Linked DNA regions of Macaca fascicularis. The protein of the gene in region 2 interacts with the protein of the main gene of each other region in a biochemical or structural test. Links are inferred from orthologs where the notes say so. Each region holds a gene or a part of one and is shown on either strand. Other genes may lie near its edges.

Region 1 (7,138 bases), on a different chromosome or scaffold from region 2:
CAAACATTTCAGACTAGTAAGTGAATTTTTAAAAACATCTGAAATATTCAAGAAAATTTGGGTTTTGGTACTTTTCCATATGCTTTGAACAATGTGAACTCCCAACATTGTTTATCCTTGTTCCTCTTACTGCATGAAGTTCAAACTAGGTCTTAAAGACAACATTTCTGTACTTAAGAAAAAGTGCAAAGACAGAAAATGAAATATAAGGTGTTCTGCAAGAAATGTTCCCTCGAGAATGGTGATTGGATGTTGGTGGGGGGAAAACGATTTTTGTTCTCCACCGTAATCTGACACCTACGAATGACCTTGTCTTCAATGTCCACAACACCAGTAAGCATGTAATAATCATGGACATCGCAAGATTAAAAAATTAAGTAGCAAATTCCACTAAAATACTTGTATTCATTCTATACAATCGAATGGAAATCCGTGAGTGCTATTGAAAAAGGTGTTCACATGCACATGTCCAATGTGTGCATTCCACTGAAGGCTACAAGCTTAAAATTCTATTTCCAGTGTTTATGAATAGCTTCAATATCTACATTCATAGCCAGCATTCTGCTTGAGTTACCTCTTACTTTAATACTTCACAAATCAGTTGTACATCTTGGGAGGTTAGGAAGGTATCTGTTGTCAATAACTTTCTCTTATGCTTAGAATGTGCTGCAATTGTTTTTAAACTATTTAAAATGAACGCCCCTATAATAATGAAACACTTTATGCCAAGAAGAAAACTGATTTGTTTTTAGCCAATCAAGACTACCCTGCAGATCTGAAAACTGTAGATTACATCCTTAGGAAAGGAGAAAAGGAGGCTCACAAATATAAAGGAATCCTGACTTTACACGGACACATTTTTAAAAAGATAAAATGTATTACATAAGCGCCATAAACAGTGAAATCTGCTTATAAAAAAAATAAGTGAAGCTTTGTTTGGACATTATTTCCTTGCAAGAGCAGTACATATCCTTAGTAAACAACTACCATATTTACAAGTTAATTTCCTTGATACTTAGGTAGGATTGAAAGCCAGAAGAAATCATGAAAGAGTGAGCTTTGAAATAATCTTTACAGCTAAGTTGATAACAGTGAAGGTAGCCAGACAATTCCTAAAGCAGACTTGTTTATTTTGTAGAGTATCTGACTATGTCTGGGTAGCTAGCTTGCTTTGATAAAGGCCAAGGACAAGTTCAATCCCTATTTTGGCCTGTTAAAGCTTTTCCCAGAAGAATAAATACCTGCTCCATAGTCATTCTAATCCTAACCCCAGCTAGCCTCAAAAAAGAAACTAGGCAAGAGGACTGGGGTTATCATGAAGTTACTCCTACTACTAAGAAACCAACATAAAGTGCATGTCCATAGATAGTGAGTCAGCAGTCTCATTTTCATATATGGGCAGCACAATTAAAACTTGAATTTCAAATAACCCAACATGACTCACTTTCAACAAAGGATAAAAATCCCTTAATCTTCAACTGGTCTTTAAATTCGAGATGTTAGGTCTGTGTTAAGAGATAGTAATGAAATATTATCAAGTGTGCAATGGTACCTTAAATGACAAATCTCAAAAATAACACAAATTCAAGACTTTCCTATTAACACACACATGTGTACCAACTGCATTTCATATGCTACAAGTGGTTTTATAGTCTCTTTCCTCCATCTTTTCATTTTTGAGGAGCAGACTTGTAAAAACATCAATTTAACTTGTGCTAGGTGGTAGTGGTTTGTTTTTCTTAAACCAGAACTCTGCCAAATTTGCTGATCTTCTGCTTCGTCTACTCAGGTAGAATACCAGGTCAAGCTGCTGCTGCGGCTGCTCTCACCATATGAAACCAGTTTGTGTCTGCATTATTACCGTCTTCAGGAAAACTTTTAAATCCTCCAGAGCCGTTTTCTTTATTCCTCCCATCTTTCACTTCCTGCCTAAATCCAAGTTAAATTATACGATTTCCACTGGTCTTCAACACAGTTTGATTCTGCACTGTCCTTTCCTTTGCATGTCACAGTAGCTGTTCACATACATTAAATATTATAGATATGTTCTGCTCTTGACATCTACACACTTACAAAAGCAGCTTTGTACTTTGTTTGGTGTGTTTGTTACTATGTTGGCTCACAAAAAGCAGTTTTCTCAGTTCTAAGCATGGTACTTTACAATTTTTAATGCATTCATACAACAGTGCATTGGAAAAGTACTGAGCCTCTACAAAATAGCTTTACATTTTTAAACAAATGAATGTGATTTTTTTTTCACTTACACAAGCATAGGCTTTTTAATATTTCCACAAGATAAATATCTCAATTAAACTATAAGCTCACTCTACAGTGTGCCACAGTGATGGGCTTAGGAGACAGTTGTACACTTAGAAGATCCTAACCTTAGTGTTATTTACACTGACATGTCCAGTATCACCAAGTCTGAAAGGTGAACAAACAATATTCAGAATGTGGCTGAATTTGTGTCAACTAATAACTAGGAATGGTATAGCTTTAATCACTTATGAAACACATACTGTAACTTAGTCTAAACTGGTAATTTCCTTCGCTCCTCTCTCTTATGGCGTGGGAAAATTTAAAGATCAACATGAAACAGGAGCCATTGCTAAGGCAGATCTTTTAAGATAACAAAGGAAAAATTAACGAGTGTATATGATAAATTAACAGTAACAGTGATGCTACCAATTTAACTGGTACAGAAATCAGATTTTTAGGTCCTAAAACGTGACTTTTAAAATACTTCCTTTTATTCTGGAACAAAAACTGGAGAAAGGACAATGATTCCTTCAGAAAGCAATGACTCAATTCAGGTTGTTACTTTACATTTAAGTACCACTCAAAAAGTGGACATAAAAGCAAGTGATTCCTATTTGCCCATCACTATATCAGCTACATAGCTGAGAGTTCAGATCTTAATTACACAACACTTTCTCTGTTCCCAGAAGCTAAGACTGCTCTGCGACAAATAGGACAGGTAGAATTCTCAGATAACCAGCGATCGATGCAGTGGACATGGTACTCATGGGAACAAGGTAGTTTACGAAGTTTGTTGCCTTCTGTATATTCTGTAATGCAAACACTACAGGTTTTTAATGCATCATTTTCACCAAAACTTCTCATTGCCAAGTTGTCAATCTGTTCTTTGGTGAGTCCTCTAGGCTGGTCATCATCATCCTCATTTAAGAGGAAAAACTGAGCCAGGCTAAGGAAGGGCAAAGAGCCACTTTCATCAAATGTGACTGGGGCCCTATGTCGACCCTCTCGCCTGGCACCTGATGAGCCTGATGATGAGCTTCCTTCATTACTGCCTTCAAATAAATCTGAGCTAGCTTCTGAACTTTCACCACCGGAACTGGAACTAGGACTGGAACTGGAACTCGAACTGGAACTCGAACTGGAACTCGAACTGGAGCTCGAACTGGAACCAGAACTACTACCACCACCAGAACCCCCTCTTCCACTCCGTGACTCTGCCCTTTCCATATTTCGATTGGGGACTGAGCCAGTAGGCTCTGAGTCGCTATCACTGTACATAAAATAGCTTAACTCACCAAAACCTGTCATTATCTGCCTTAACATGGTCTGAATTGCAACAGATGTAGTCTCACTTAAACCAGTATTTAAGATTCTACGAATGGGAATTCTGATGGTACTGACATAGGTTCTCACACCTGCCCGCTCAGAACGTGAAAACGTACGCCTAAAACCTCCTCGTTCACTTTCATAGGTGACAGTGTTGTTTGGCGTCTGAGACCTAGATCGAGTTCTGCTGGCTATGCTATCTCTCTGCCGATATTCTCCAGGACGAACTCTTCTTACTTGAAGATCAAGGACTATGGTTGGAGGTCTCTGTCCTGATCCTGTAGATTCACCATTGGCAGCTGTGTCCGAAGAACCTGCTCCTTGAGAGGCATTTCTTGTTCCAGAAGCTGCAAAAAGACCTCTACTTAGCAACTCAGGCCCAGATATTTGCTGTCTCAATGTCACATGGTGCCGGGTTCTAGAACTTCCCTCCGTCTCATTTACCAAAGGATGTTCAAAAGTCTGAGATGAGATACTATGATGAGATCTTCGTGGAATTTCACTCATTGGATGCAGAGGTGACCTACTTCTCTCAGCTCTTGCTCTGGTTCTCCGATGGTCTGGGCTCCTGCTTCTTGCCCTCCTCTGACCTCTGGTAGGTGGGACCTCTGTTAATGCTTCAGTTGAATTTCGTTCTGATCTAGATGGCCTTGCAGATGTTGATTCAGATCGTGGGTTTTCCACTTGCCTTTGGCTGTTGTTTTCCACATTTTCTCCACTAGAACGTCTTGCAGATGGCTCATTTTCATTCTCTGAATTTTGGCTCCCATTATTACGATTAACATTTATCTCTAAACTGAATCTGAAATCACCACTGTTTGGATTAGTCCGGCTCACCGCTCTCCAAGATTGGTTTCCTCTTTGTCCACTTCTTGTTGTATTTCCAGTTTGTCTGACAGAGTTTAGCCAGTCTATTATAGAGTCACCATTAGACACATCATCTGAAGAGTCTCCTCCTGTTCAAAACAAAGGAGGGGGAGAGGGAGAAAAAGGAACTACTAAAATGAGGACAATCATATAATAAGTGCTCTAAAACTCTGCATTAAAGAATTTAAAGATTCGGAACACATTTCATAATTACAGATTTTTACAAACTACACTGCATAAACTTATAAGGCAAGAAAATTCTAATTCCATTTGAAAAGAGCAATCTATATTAGAGAAATTTAGAGAATTATTTGATTTTTAAAGGGAATCTAGAGGAAGTCTGTTTCTAGTATTTTATCATATAAAGGCCAAGCATACCACTGTGGGATGGCCAGAAGACATTTTTTCAGTCCTCTGCCAAAACACTAATGTAATCAGACTAGGTAAGGAGACAGTGTTTAAAGAATAGTCACATTTAGTTCAAGCTACATTTCTGTCAAATTTTTATTAGTCTACATACTGTGCCTTCGATAACATTTGAGGTTGTTTTAAAATACAAGACTACTTATTGTAGCCATAAGAAAAATACAAACAAGATTTATAGGTTTAAAAGCATTTGCATATTTCTTAAAGTTACCAAGGTTTTCAATGGACATGAAATTAAAGATCAGATCAAATAAGTAGTCTGAACCTTGCATAGCACATACACTGGCATGCTCAAGAACCAAATTATTATCGTAGCCTCTCAAGGTTACACAGTCAAAATCCCTACTCGACACTGGGAGGGAAACACCAGACCTGAGATTAGAGCAAGATTTCTCAACAGTGGTACTACTTGACATTTTAAGCCAGTTAATTCTGTGTCATGGGGGCTGTGTTGTGCATTATGGCATGTCAGGATGTTTGGCAGCATTCCTGCCCTCTACACAAATGTCTCCAGACGTTGCTAATGTCCCACATGGGACAAAATTATATCTCATTAGGAGCCACTGGGTTTAGACATTTCTTTTTGCTGGTGAAGAACTCGCATGTTTATAAAGAAGGAATTAAGTAGGAATAAATTTCAATGGAGGTGAAAAACAAACAAAATCACATTTAAATAGGCCATTTCTCACTGTGTTCCAATTAACATAAACATCCCAAAGGTGAGATAGAAAAAAAATGCTGACATTCTCACTAAGAAAATGTCAGTTTTCTTTTTATGAGCAGTTACTTAGCACCAAATTAATTTGTGCCAAATTTGGATAATCTTTGGCTGACATTTACTATTACAAAGCTCCTATCATTCTATCATCTATCCACCTCCCCACCAAAACCAAAATATACCTCTATTTTCATCTGAGTTTTGCGGTGGTGGGCCTTCTTTAATTTGCTGTAGTCTTCTCAGCAACTCTTCCTCAGTACTTTCACCTGAAATTTAACACCACAGGGCAAAAATGACATTAGGGGTATGACAATCAAATACTTTATCAGTGACTCATAGTAATCTGACACAAGATGATTAGAAAAAAAATCATATTTTTAAAAGTTAAGAGAAAACGTAAAAAAAAAAAAAAAAAAAAAAAAAAGAAAGAAAAAAGAAAACCAGTGGTTCCCAACTCTGAGAGAAAAACCAAGGAGTAGGTAGGACCCGGGAAAAATTCACTTCTTTGGAAACATATTACAAGCAATTTACAAAGTTCTTTTGCATATAAGATCTAACTTTTAAAAATTGCAACTCTAGGCCAGGCATGGTGGCTCACGCCTGTACTCCCAGCACTTTGGGAGGCCGAGGCAACTGGATCACCAGAGGTCAGGAGTTCATGACCAGCCTGGCCAACATGGCAAAACCCCATCTCTACTAAAAATACAAAAATTAGGCAGGCGTGGTGGTGAGCGCCTGTAATCCCAGCTACTTAGGAGACTGAGGAGCAGGGTCACTTGAACCTGGGAGGCAGAGGTTGCAGTGAGCCGGGACTGCACCACTGCACTCCAGCCTGGGCGATGGAGCAAGACTCCGCTTAAAAAAAAAAAAAAAAAAAAAAAGGCAAAGGCAATTCTAAGCTGGGCACACAGTGGTACTGCATCTGTAGTGCCAGCTTGTTAGGTTGGGAGACTCAGGCAGAAGAATCCCTTGAGTCCAGCCAGGGCAACATAATGAGACCCTGTCTTAAAAGTAAATAAGTAAATAATTTTTAAGAATTGAAGCTTTGAGAGGAAGATATTGTTATCTGCATTTTAAAATGAAGAAACAGACTGAGTGATAGACTGGCTTGCCAGAAGCCACATCAAACAGCAGGGCCAGAACTCCAACTAAGGCATTCTGATTCAAGCCTGGTACTGTTGGCTCAAAACACACTCCCTCTCTTAAAAGTCATGCAAAAACCTTACCTTTTAAAATCTAAGCAATTACTCAAAGGTAAGTAGAATTAAACAGAAATGAGAAGGAAGACAGACACTGAGTTTTAACTAGGATCAAATGGGACTTCGTGGGGTAAAAGATAATCAAGCACAAACTTCTCATTGCTATGTTACCCAAGGCTAGCTCTGGAGTATTACAACTGGGACATATTCAAAAAATCAGAGATTTAACAAAATAGAATAAGTCTTTCCTAAAACCTAAGTTCCCATTAGCTATTCTACACTTGGATTTTTATCTAGTAAATTAGATAAAGCTAACTAAGAACACTAAAAATTCATATTATAA
Region 2 (7,786 bases):
AGATACTCCTAGAAAGAAAAAATGGAATAAGAAAAAAGTTATCCAATGAGCTCTACCTCTATATTTTACTGTATTTGGGTAGAGGCAATTTAGCCCACAGTATGAGAAGATTACAATCTGTTAAATATGGACCACAGATATAAAGATGTTCATGTATTACTTTTAAAACTTCTAAATATAAAGTATTTCATAGTTTCAAAAAAATCTTCAAAAATGTAGGGAGCAAGCAGCAGATATGAGTGTAACTCTTTCCACCAAAACCACCAATATTTTGGAGGCAGACACCTGGTTTCAAACCTCTGTCCCACCAGCAAGTCATTGATACTGAGGAAGCTACTTAATTTCTTCCCAGCTGCAACTGTTGGATCTGTGAAACAAGAATACTATCAATCTCATACAGCTGCCATATATAAAAAATGTGAGACAGGCAGGGTGCAGTAGCTCATGCCTGTAATCCCAGGACTTTGGGAGGCTGAGGCAGGAGGACTGCTTGAGTCCAGGAGTCTGACACTGGCTTGGGCAATATAGTGAGACCCTCAACTCCACAAAATATTTAAAAAAAGAAAATTTAGCCAAGTGTGGTGGCTACTAGGAAGGCTGAGGCAGGAGGATCACTTGAGTCTAGGAGTTCAAGGTTACAGCGAGCTGTAAGGTCTTGCTTTGCTGCCACTGCACTCCAACTTGGGCAACAGAGCAAGACCTTGTGTCTTAAAATCAATCAATCAATCAGACAGTAGGCATTCAACTGTAGGCAGTTATTCTAAATTTGGAGTAAAAGCAAAGAACTAAAGGGAAGAGAAAGGAAAAAAGGGTTTTTCAGTGGTGTTAACAATTAATTGATCATAACCAGTTACAGACTTTTTTCCTTTTCCATTTCCACTGCTTCGTTGGACTAGCCTTAAAAAAATAAAAAATTTTTTAAAAAGCATTTTCAGTGAAATAAAGTTCTCCCACCTTTTCAGATTTACATAAGAGAATAACATGGATGTCAGATGAATGAGACCACTTATTTTCTGGTTCCCAAAGCCCACTGAAGAAGAGATTTGCAAAGGGATCCAAGATTATATACCATAGGATTAGAATCTAGATTCTTTGCTCTAGTTTCAGGAAACCAGAGCCATGTCAAGAAATCCAAAATAATCCCATTATCTCTATATCATTTGAGAGTTTCCCAAATAAACTTTTTCATTCAGGAAGGTAACATTTTAACACAAACTTTTCTCCAATTTATAACTGTCTCCTAAAGAAAGATTAAATAAATCACATCTGGAGAACAGAGCCCACATATATTCCTCTGTATTAATATATCCCCTCTTATCCACAGGGGACACACTCCAAGATCCCTATTGGATGCTTGAAACCACGGATAGTACTGACCCTATACGTTTTTTCCTATATGTACATACCTATGATAAGGTTTAATTTATAAATTAAACACAGTAAGAGATTAACAATAATAGAATAGAGTAATTATAACAATATACTGTAATAAAAATTATGTGAATGTGCTCTCTCAAATACCTTATTGTACTATACTCACTTATTTTTGGACGATGGTTGACAGTGGGTAACTGAAACTGCAGAGAATGAAACTGCAGATAAGGGTGGACTACTTGGCTACCAGCCCCATGGATTATTTGCACACAGGTGACAAAGAAACACTATTAGAAGTACCATAGCCCTCATATTGAGCTTTTCTTGAGGCATATTTACATCCAGTAATCACTAAACCATTGAACAATACCTTTATAATTCAAGAACAATAAGCACAACAGAATATGAAAACATAGCTACTTCTGACATCTAACAGCTATCTGTTTAATTATGTCCCAAGGTTATTCTAAGCACTGTAAAGACACTCTTAATCTTCCCACAGTTTTTACAGATAAAGATAATCGAGATACAGAGCCAGTACTTCAGGTTTTAAGAAGAAAAGCCAGGACTCAAAGCAAATCTAATTATAAAGCCCATGCTCTTAATTACTAAGCTAACTTCACTAAATTATGCTTCAGGAGTTAAAAATCTCTACCTCCTTGGCAAGTTTAAGTTCTCATACTAAGAGGGGGAAAAGAAAAGACACATTTAAATAATACTGCATTGTTATCTCCTTCTGTAAAGTTGTATTAGCAGTCAGCTTTTACACTATCGTTTATGAAAAGGATATTCCCACAAACCAACTACTTATTATGACTAAACTGGTATGCAAAAAGCCTGGGTTCAACCATTAACCAGCTGTTTCTCTGAGGAACAATCAACCTCCTTGGGCCTCAGTTTCCTGATTTTATAGATGAGGAGTTTGGCCTAGATCTATTTCAGCACTGAAATTCAATACATTTTAGTACATTTTCTAAGACACTATATTTTTCTTAACAGATTTTGAACAGCATCTTTTGAAAACTTTCCAACTTAAAATACGTAACATATACTCACATCTGTTCTTTTACTCAAACATACTCAAAACTAATCTGTTATTAGAAGTCAGGAAAGTAACTAGAAAGGAAGGAGGATTCCTATGGTACTGGGAAGGGTCTGTTTCTTGATTTGGATGCCAGTCACACTTTATTATGTACACGTTTTACTTTAATATGAAAAAGGGTGGTTTTCCTCCCCAAAAGGTAACTATGAAGAAAGTTAAGAACATGATCTAACTCTACAACTATGTTTGAGTATATAAGAGCTGTGCAACCTTTCTGTTCTACATATGTAAATGTGTTTCTTGAATAAGTGCATCAATAATCTCTTTGTTCCATAGTTCCAATTCATGTGCCTAGAGAAAAGTTTATTTACTTAAGAATTTCAGCCAGGCGTGGTGGCTCACACCTGCAATCCCAACACTTTGGGAGGCCAACGCTGGCAGATCATCTGAGTTCGGGAGTTCAAGAACAGCCTGATCGACCACCATGGAGAAACTCGGTCTCTACTAAAAATACAAAATTAGCTGAGCTTGGTGGTGCATGCCTGTAATCCCAGCTACTCAGGAGGCTGAGGCAGGAGAATCGCTTGAACCCAGGAGACAGAGGTTGCAATGAGCCGAGATTGCGCCATTGCACTCCAGCCTGGGCAACAAGAGCAAAACTCTGTCTCGGGGGGGAAAAAAAAAAGAATCGCAATATTACCACAATTCCTTTGGGACTGTCTCCTGAAATTTGAGGTCAGTCTTAACTTTCCTCAGCTCAAGAAGGCTGGGTGAGGTGGCTCATGCCTATAATCCCAGAACGTTGGGAAGCTGAGGCAGAAGGACTGTGTGAAGCCAGGAGTTCAAGACCAGCCTGGGCAACATAGTGAGACCCCATCTCTACAAAAAGTAAAAACTAGCTGGGTGTGGCAGCACGTACCTGTAGACCCAGCTACTTGGGAGGCTGAGGTGGAAGGCTTGCTAGAACCCAGGAGGTCAAGGCTGCAGTGAGCTATGACTGTGCTCCTGGGCGAATGAGGGAGACCCCGTCTCAACAACAACAACAACAACAAAAAGCACCTAGCTCAAGAACCCCCCTCATACAGTCATACAGCCCGGGCACGATGGCTCACGCCTGTAATCCCAGCACTTTCAGAAGCCAAGGCAGGCGGATCACCTGAGGTCAGGAGTTCGAGACCAGCCTGGCTAGAAACCCCATCTCTACTAAAAATAGGAAAATTAGCTGGGTGTGGTGGCACGTGCCTATAATCCCAGCTACTGGGTCAAGCAGTAGAACTACCTGACCTGGGAAGCAGAAGCTGCAGTGAGCCAAAATCACGCCACCGCACTCCAGCCTGGGTGAGAGTGAGTTTCCATCTCAAACAAAACAAAACAAAAAAACTCCAGGTCGGGTGGCTCATGCGTGTAAGCCCAGCACTTTGGGAGGCCAAGACAGCCAGATCACTTGAGGTCAGGAGTGTGAGACCAGCCTGGCCACATGGTGAAATCCAGTCTCTACTAAAAATACAAAAAATTAGCCAGGTGTGGTGGCGCATGCCTGTGATTCCAGCCATTCCGGAGGCTGAGGCCTGAGAATCACTTGAAGCCAGGAGGTGGAGGTTGCAGTGAGCCAAGATCAAGCCACTGTACTCCAGGCTGGGCGACAGAGACTCTGACTCAAAACAAAACAAAAACAAAAAAGAACCTCCCTCATTCAAATACCCTCAGAATCCCATAGCATTTACTCTTTGCCCCTCCCATTTTTATCTATCCTTTGTCTGTCCTGTATCTCCAACCAGTAAGCCTTTTGGGGCTGTGGTCAACATGTTCAGTAACTATCAATAATGTATTCACTGGGAAATAAGAGTACATAGTCTTGGCTGGGCATGGTGGCTCACACTTGTAATCTCATCACTTTGGAAGAGCGAGGCAGGTGGATCACTTGAGGTCAGGAGTTTGAGACCAGCCTGGCCGACATCATAAAACCCTGTCTCTACTAACAATATAAAAAATTAGTTGGGCATGGTGGGGTGCGCCTGTAGTCCCAGCTACTTGGGAGGCTGAGGCAGGAGAACCACTTAACCTGGGAGGCGGAGGCTGCAGAGAGCTTGGATCATGCAACTGGACTCCAGCCAGGGTGACAGAGCGAGATTCCATCTGAAAAAAAAAAAAAAAAAAAAAAAAAAAAGTCCAGGCATGCCAGGCATGGTGGCTCACCATGTAAGCCCAGCACTTTGGGAGGCCGAGGCAGGCAGATCATCTGAGGTCAGGAGTTTGAGACCAGCCTGGCCAATATAGTGAAACCCTGCCTCTATTAAAACTACAAAAATTAGCAGGGTGTAGTGCCCGGGCGCGGTGGCTCACACCTGTAATCTCAGCACTTTGGGAGGCCAAAGCAGGCTGATCACGAGGTCAGGAGACCGAGACCATCCTGGCCAACATGGTGAAACCCCATCTCTACTAAAAAAATACAACAAATTAGCCGGGCCTGGTGGCGGGTGCCTGTAGTCCCAGCTACTCGGGAGGCTGAGGCAGGAGAATGGCGTGAACCCGGAAGGCGGAGCCTGCAGTGAGCTGAGATTGCGCACCACTGCACTCCAGCCTGAGCAACAGAGCGAGACTCTGTCTCAAAAAAAAAAAAAAAAAAAAAAAAAAAATTAGCTGGGCAGGGTGGCGCATGCCTGTAATCCCGGGATTCCAGCCATTCCGGAGGCTGAGGCATTGGTTGAACCTGGGAGGCGAAGGTTGCAGTGAGCAAGATCAAGCCACTGCACTCCAGGCTGGGTGACAGAGCCGAGACTCCTTCTCAAAAACAAAACAACAACAAAAAGGAATCTCACTCATACAGATACCCTTAGAATCCCATAGCATTTACTCTTTGCCCCTACCATTTTTATCTATCCTTTGTCTGCCCTGTATCTCCAACCAGTTAAGCTTTTTGGGGCTACAGTCAGTATTTTCAAAAACTGTCAATAATGTATTCACTGGGAAATAAGAGTATATAGTCTTGGCTGGGCAGTGGTGGCTCATGCCTGTAATCCCAGCACTTTGGGAGGCCGAGGCAGTTGGATCACTTGAGGTCAGGGGTTCAAGACCAGCCTGGCCAACATGGTAAAACCCTGTCTCTACTAACAATACAAAACATTAACTGGGCGTGGTAGGGTGCACCTGTAATACCAGCTACTCAGGAGGCTGAGGCACGAGGGTCACTTGAACCCGGGAGGCAGAGACCATGGTGAGCTGAGATTGTGCCACCATACTCCAGCCTGGACGACAGAGCGAGACTCTGTCTCAAAAAAAAAAAAAAAAAAAAAAAAAAAAAAAAGCCCAGGTGCAGTGGCTCACGCCTGTAATCCCAACACTTTGGGAGGCCAAGGCGGCAAAATCACAAGGTCAGGAGTTCGAGACCAGCCTGGCTAATATAGTGAAACCCGTCTCTACTAAAAATACAAAAAATACCAAAAAAAAAAAACAAAAAACCCTCAGGCATGGTGGCACATGCCTGTAATCCCAGCTACTCAGGAGGCTGAGACAGGAGAACTGCTTGAACCCGGGAGGCAGAGGTTGCAGCGAGCCAAGATTGCGCCATTGTACTCCAGCATGGGCGACAGACGGAGACTCCGTCTCAAAAAAAAAAAAAAAAGTGGGCCGGGCGCGGTGGCTCAAGCCTGTAATCCCAGCACTTCGGGAGGCCGAGACGGGCGGATCACAAGGTCAGGAGATCGAGACCATCCTGGCTAACATGGTGAAACCCCGTCTCTACTAAAAATACAAAAAACTAGCCGGGCGAGGGGGCGGGCGCCTGTAGTCCCAGCTACTTGGGAGGCTGAGGCAGGAGAATGGCGTAAACCCGGGAGGCGGAGCTTGCAGTGGGCTGAGATCCGGCCACTGCACTCCAGCCTGGGCGACAGAGCGAGACTCTGTCTCAAAAAAAAAAAAAAAAAAGTGTATAGTTTTTAAGAAGGGATGACAGGCCAAGCATAGTGGCTCACGTCTGCAATTCCGGCATTTTAGGTGGCCAAGGCGGGAGGATCACTTGAGCCCAGGAGTTCGAGACCGGCCTGGGCAACATGGTGAAACCTTGACTCCACAAAAAATTACAAAAATTAGCTGGGCATGGTGGCAGATGCCTTTAGTCCCTGCTACTTGGAAGGCTGAGGTAGGAGGATCACCTAAGCCTGGGGAGTTAGAGGCTGCAGTGAGCTGTGATCACGCCACTGCATTCTAGCTTTGGTGACAGTGAGACTCTGTCTCAAAACAAATAAACAAACAAACAAACAAAACACACAAATAAAAAGGGAAGAAGCTAGGGGAGCCCAGATGTGTCTAAACCTACGCCCAATGGACAGAGCTCAAAGTCTTTGTAACAGTGTAAACAAGGAATTCACCCCAAACATATTACCTGCACAGACTTTGATTTTTTTAAAAATCCAATCTATAGACTTTCCCTGCTCAACCCATTTCAGAACCCATAAAAAATACTATTTAAATATTACATAAAACTGTAACTTGCGTAACTTTCAAAAACACTTTTGAAAAATAAAATGAAAATAAAAACTTTAAAAACCACTTTTCTACTCTTTATTTGGAGACAGTGTGTTGCTCCGTCACCCAGGCTGGAGTACAGTGGCACAATCACCGCTCACTGCAGCCTTGACCTCCCAGACTCAAACGATTCTCCTGCCTCAGTCTCCCAAAGTGCTGCCATTACAGATGTGAGCCACCAAGCCTGCCTCTAGTTTTAAACAACTGTTCAAATTCTCGTTACATTTATTTTTGGTAGAGAATTTTATCTTTTTATTAAAATCAAAAGGGAGAAATTTTAACAGAAAAACATCAAAAAGGGGGAACAAACTTAAAAGTTTTAAAAATAAAACATTCAAAGCCAGTATATATTTTTTGTGTCTTTACTGTCCGGGTCCATTTATTCTTTAGATAAATTATCTTACACATCTGATACAGTTAGTTAAGTCTCAAAGTATTCTCTTTTTTTTGGAGACAGAGCCTTGCTCTGTTGCGAGGTTGGAGTGCAGTGGTGCCATCTCAGCTCACTGCAACCTCCACCTCCCCGGTTCAAGCAATTCTCCTTCCTCAGCCTCCTGAGTAGCTGGGACTACAGGCCCATGCCACCATGCCCAGCTAATTTTTGTATTTTCAGTAGAGACGGGGTTTCATCATGTCGGCCAGGATGGTCTCGCTCTCCTGACCTCGTGATCCACCTGCCTCGGCCTCCCAAAGTGCTGGGATTATAGGCGTGAGCCACTGCGCCTGGCTGTGTTGTTCTTATATAATTAACAAATAGCCAGGAATTATTTTCTTTTTTCATTTTTGAGACAGAGTCTCGCTGCTGCCCAGGCTAGAGTGCGGTCACATGATCACAATTCACTGCAG

The links.
Region 1: the proteins of UBE2K (region 2) and RLIM form a complex in vitro, tested with the Homo sapiens proteins (2 studies listed by BioGRID). The link is inferred for Macaca fascicularis from reciprocal best matches to the Homo sapiens genes UBE2K and RLIM.

What each region holds. Positions count from the first base shown.
Region 1 is NC_088395.1:81,485,868-81,493,005, forward strand, and holds part of RLIM (E3 ubiquitin-protein ligase RLIM), read right to left. Parts: intron 5,863-7,138; coding exon 5,779-5,862; intron 4,542-5,778; coding exon 2,920-4,541; 3' UTR 1-2,919. UniProt on the Homo sapiens protein: E3 ubiquitin-protein ligase.
Region 2 is NC_088379.1:38,997,405-39,005,190, reverse strand, and holds the start of UBE2K (ubiquitin-conjugating enzyme E2 K), read right to left. Parts: upstream 4,568-7,786; 5' UTR 4,553-4,567; coding exon 4,479-4,552; intron 1-4,478. UniProt on the Homo sapiens protein: Accepts ubiquitin from the E1 complex and catalyzes its covalent attachment to other proteins. In vitro, in the presence or in the absence of BRCA1-BARD1 E3 ubiquitin-protein ligase complex, catalyzes the synthesis of 'Lys-48'-linked polyubiquitin chains.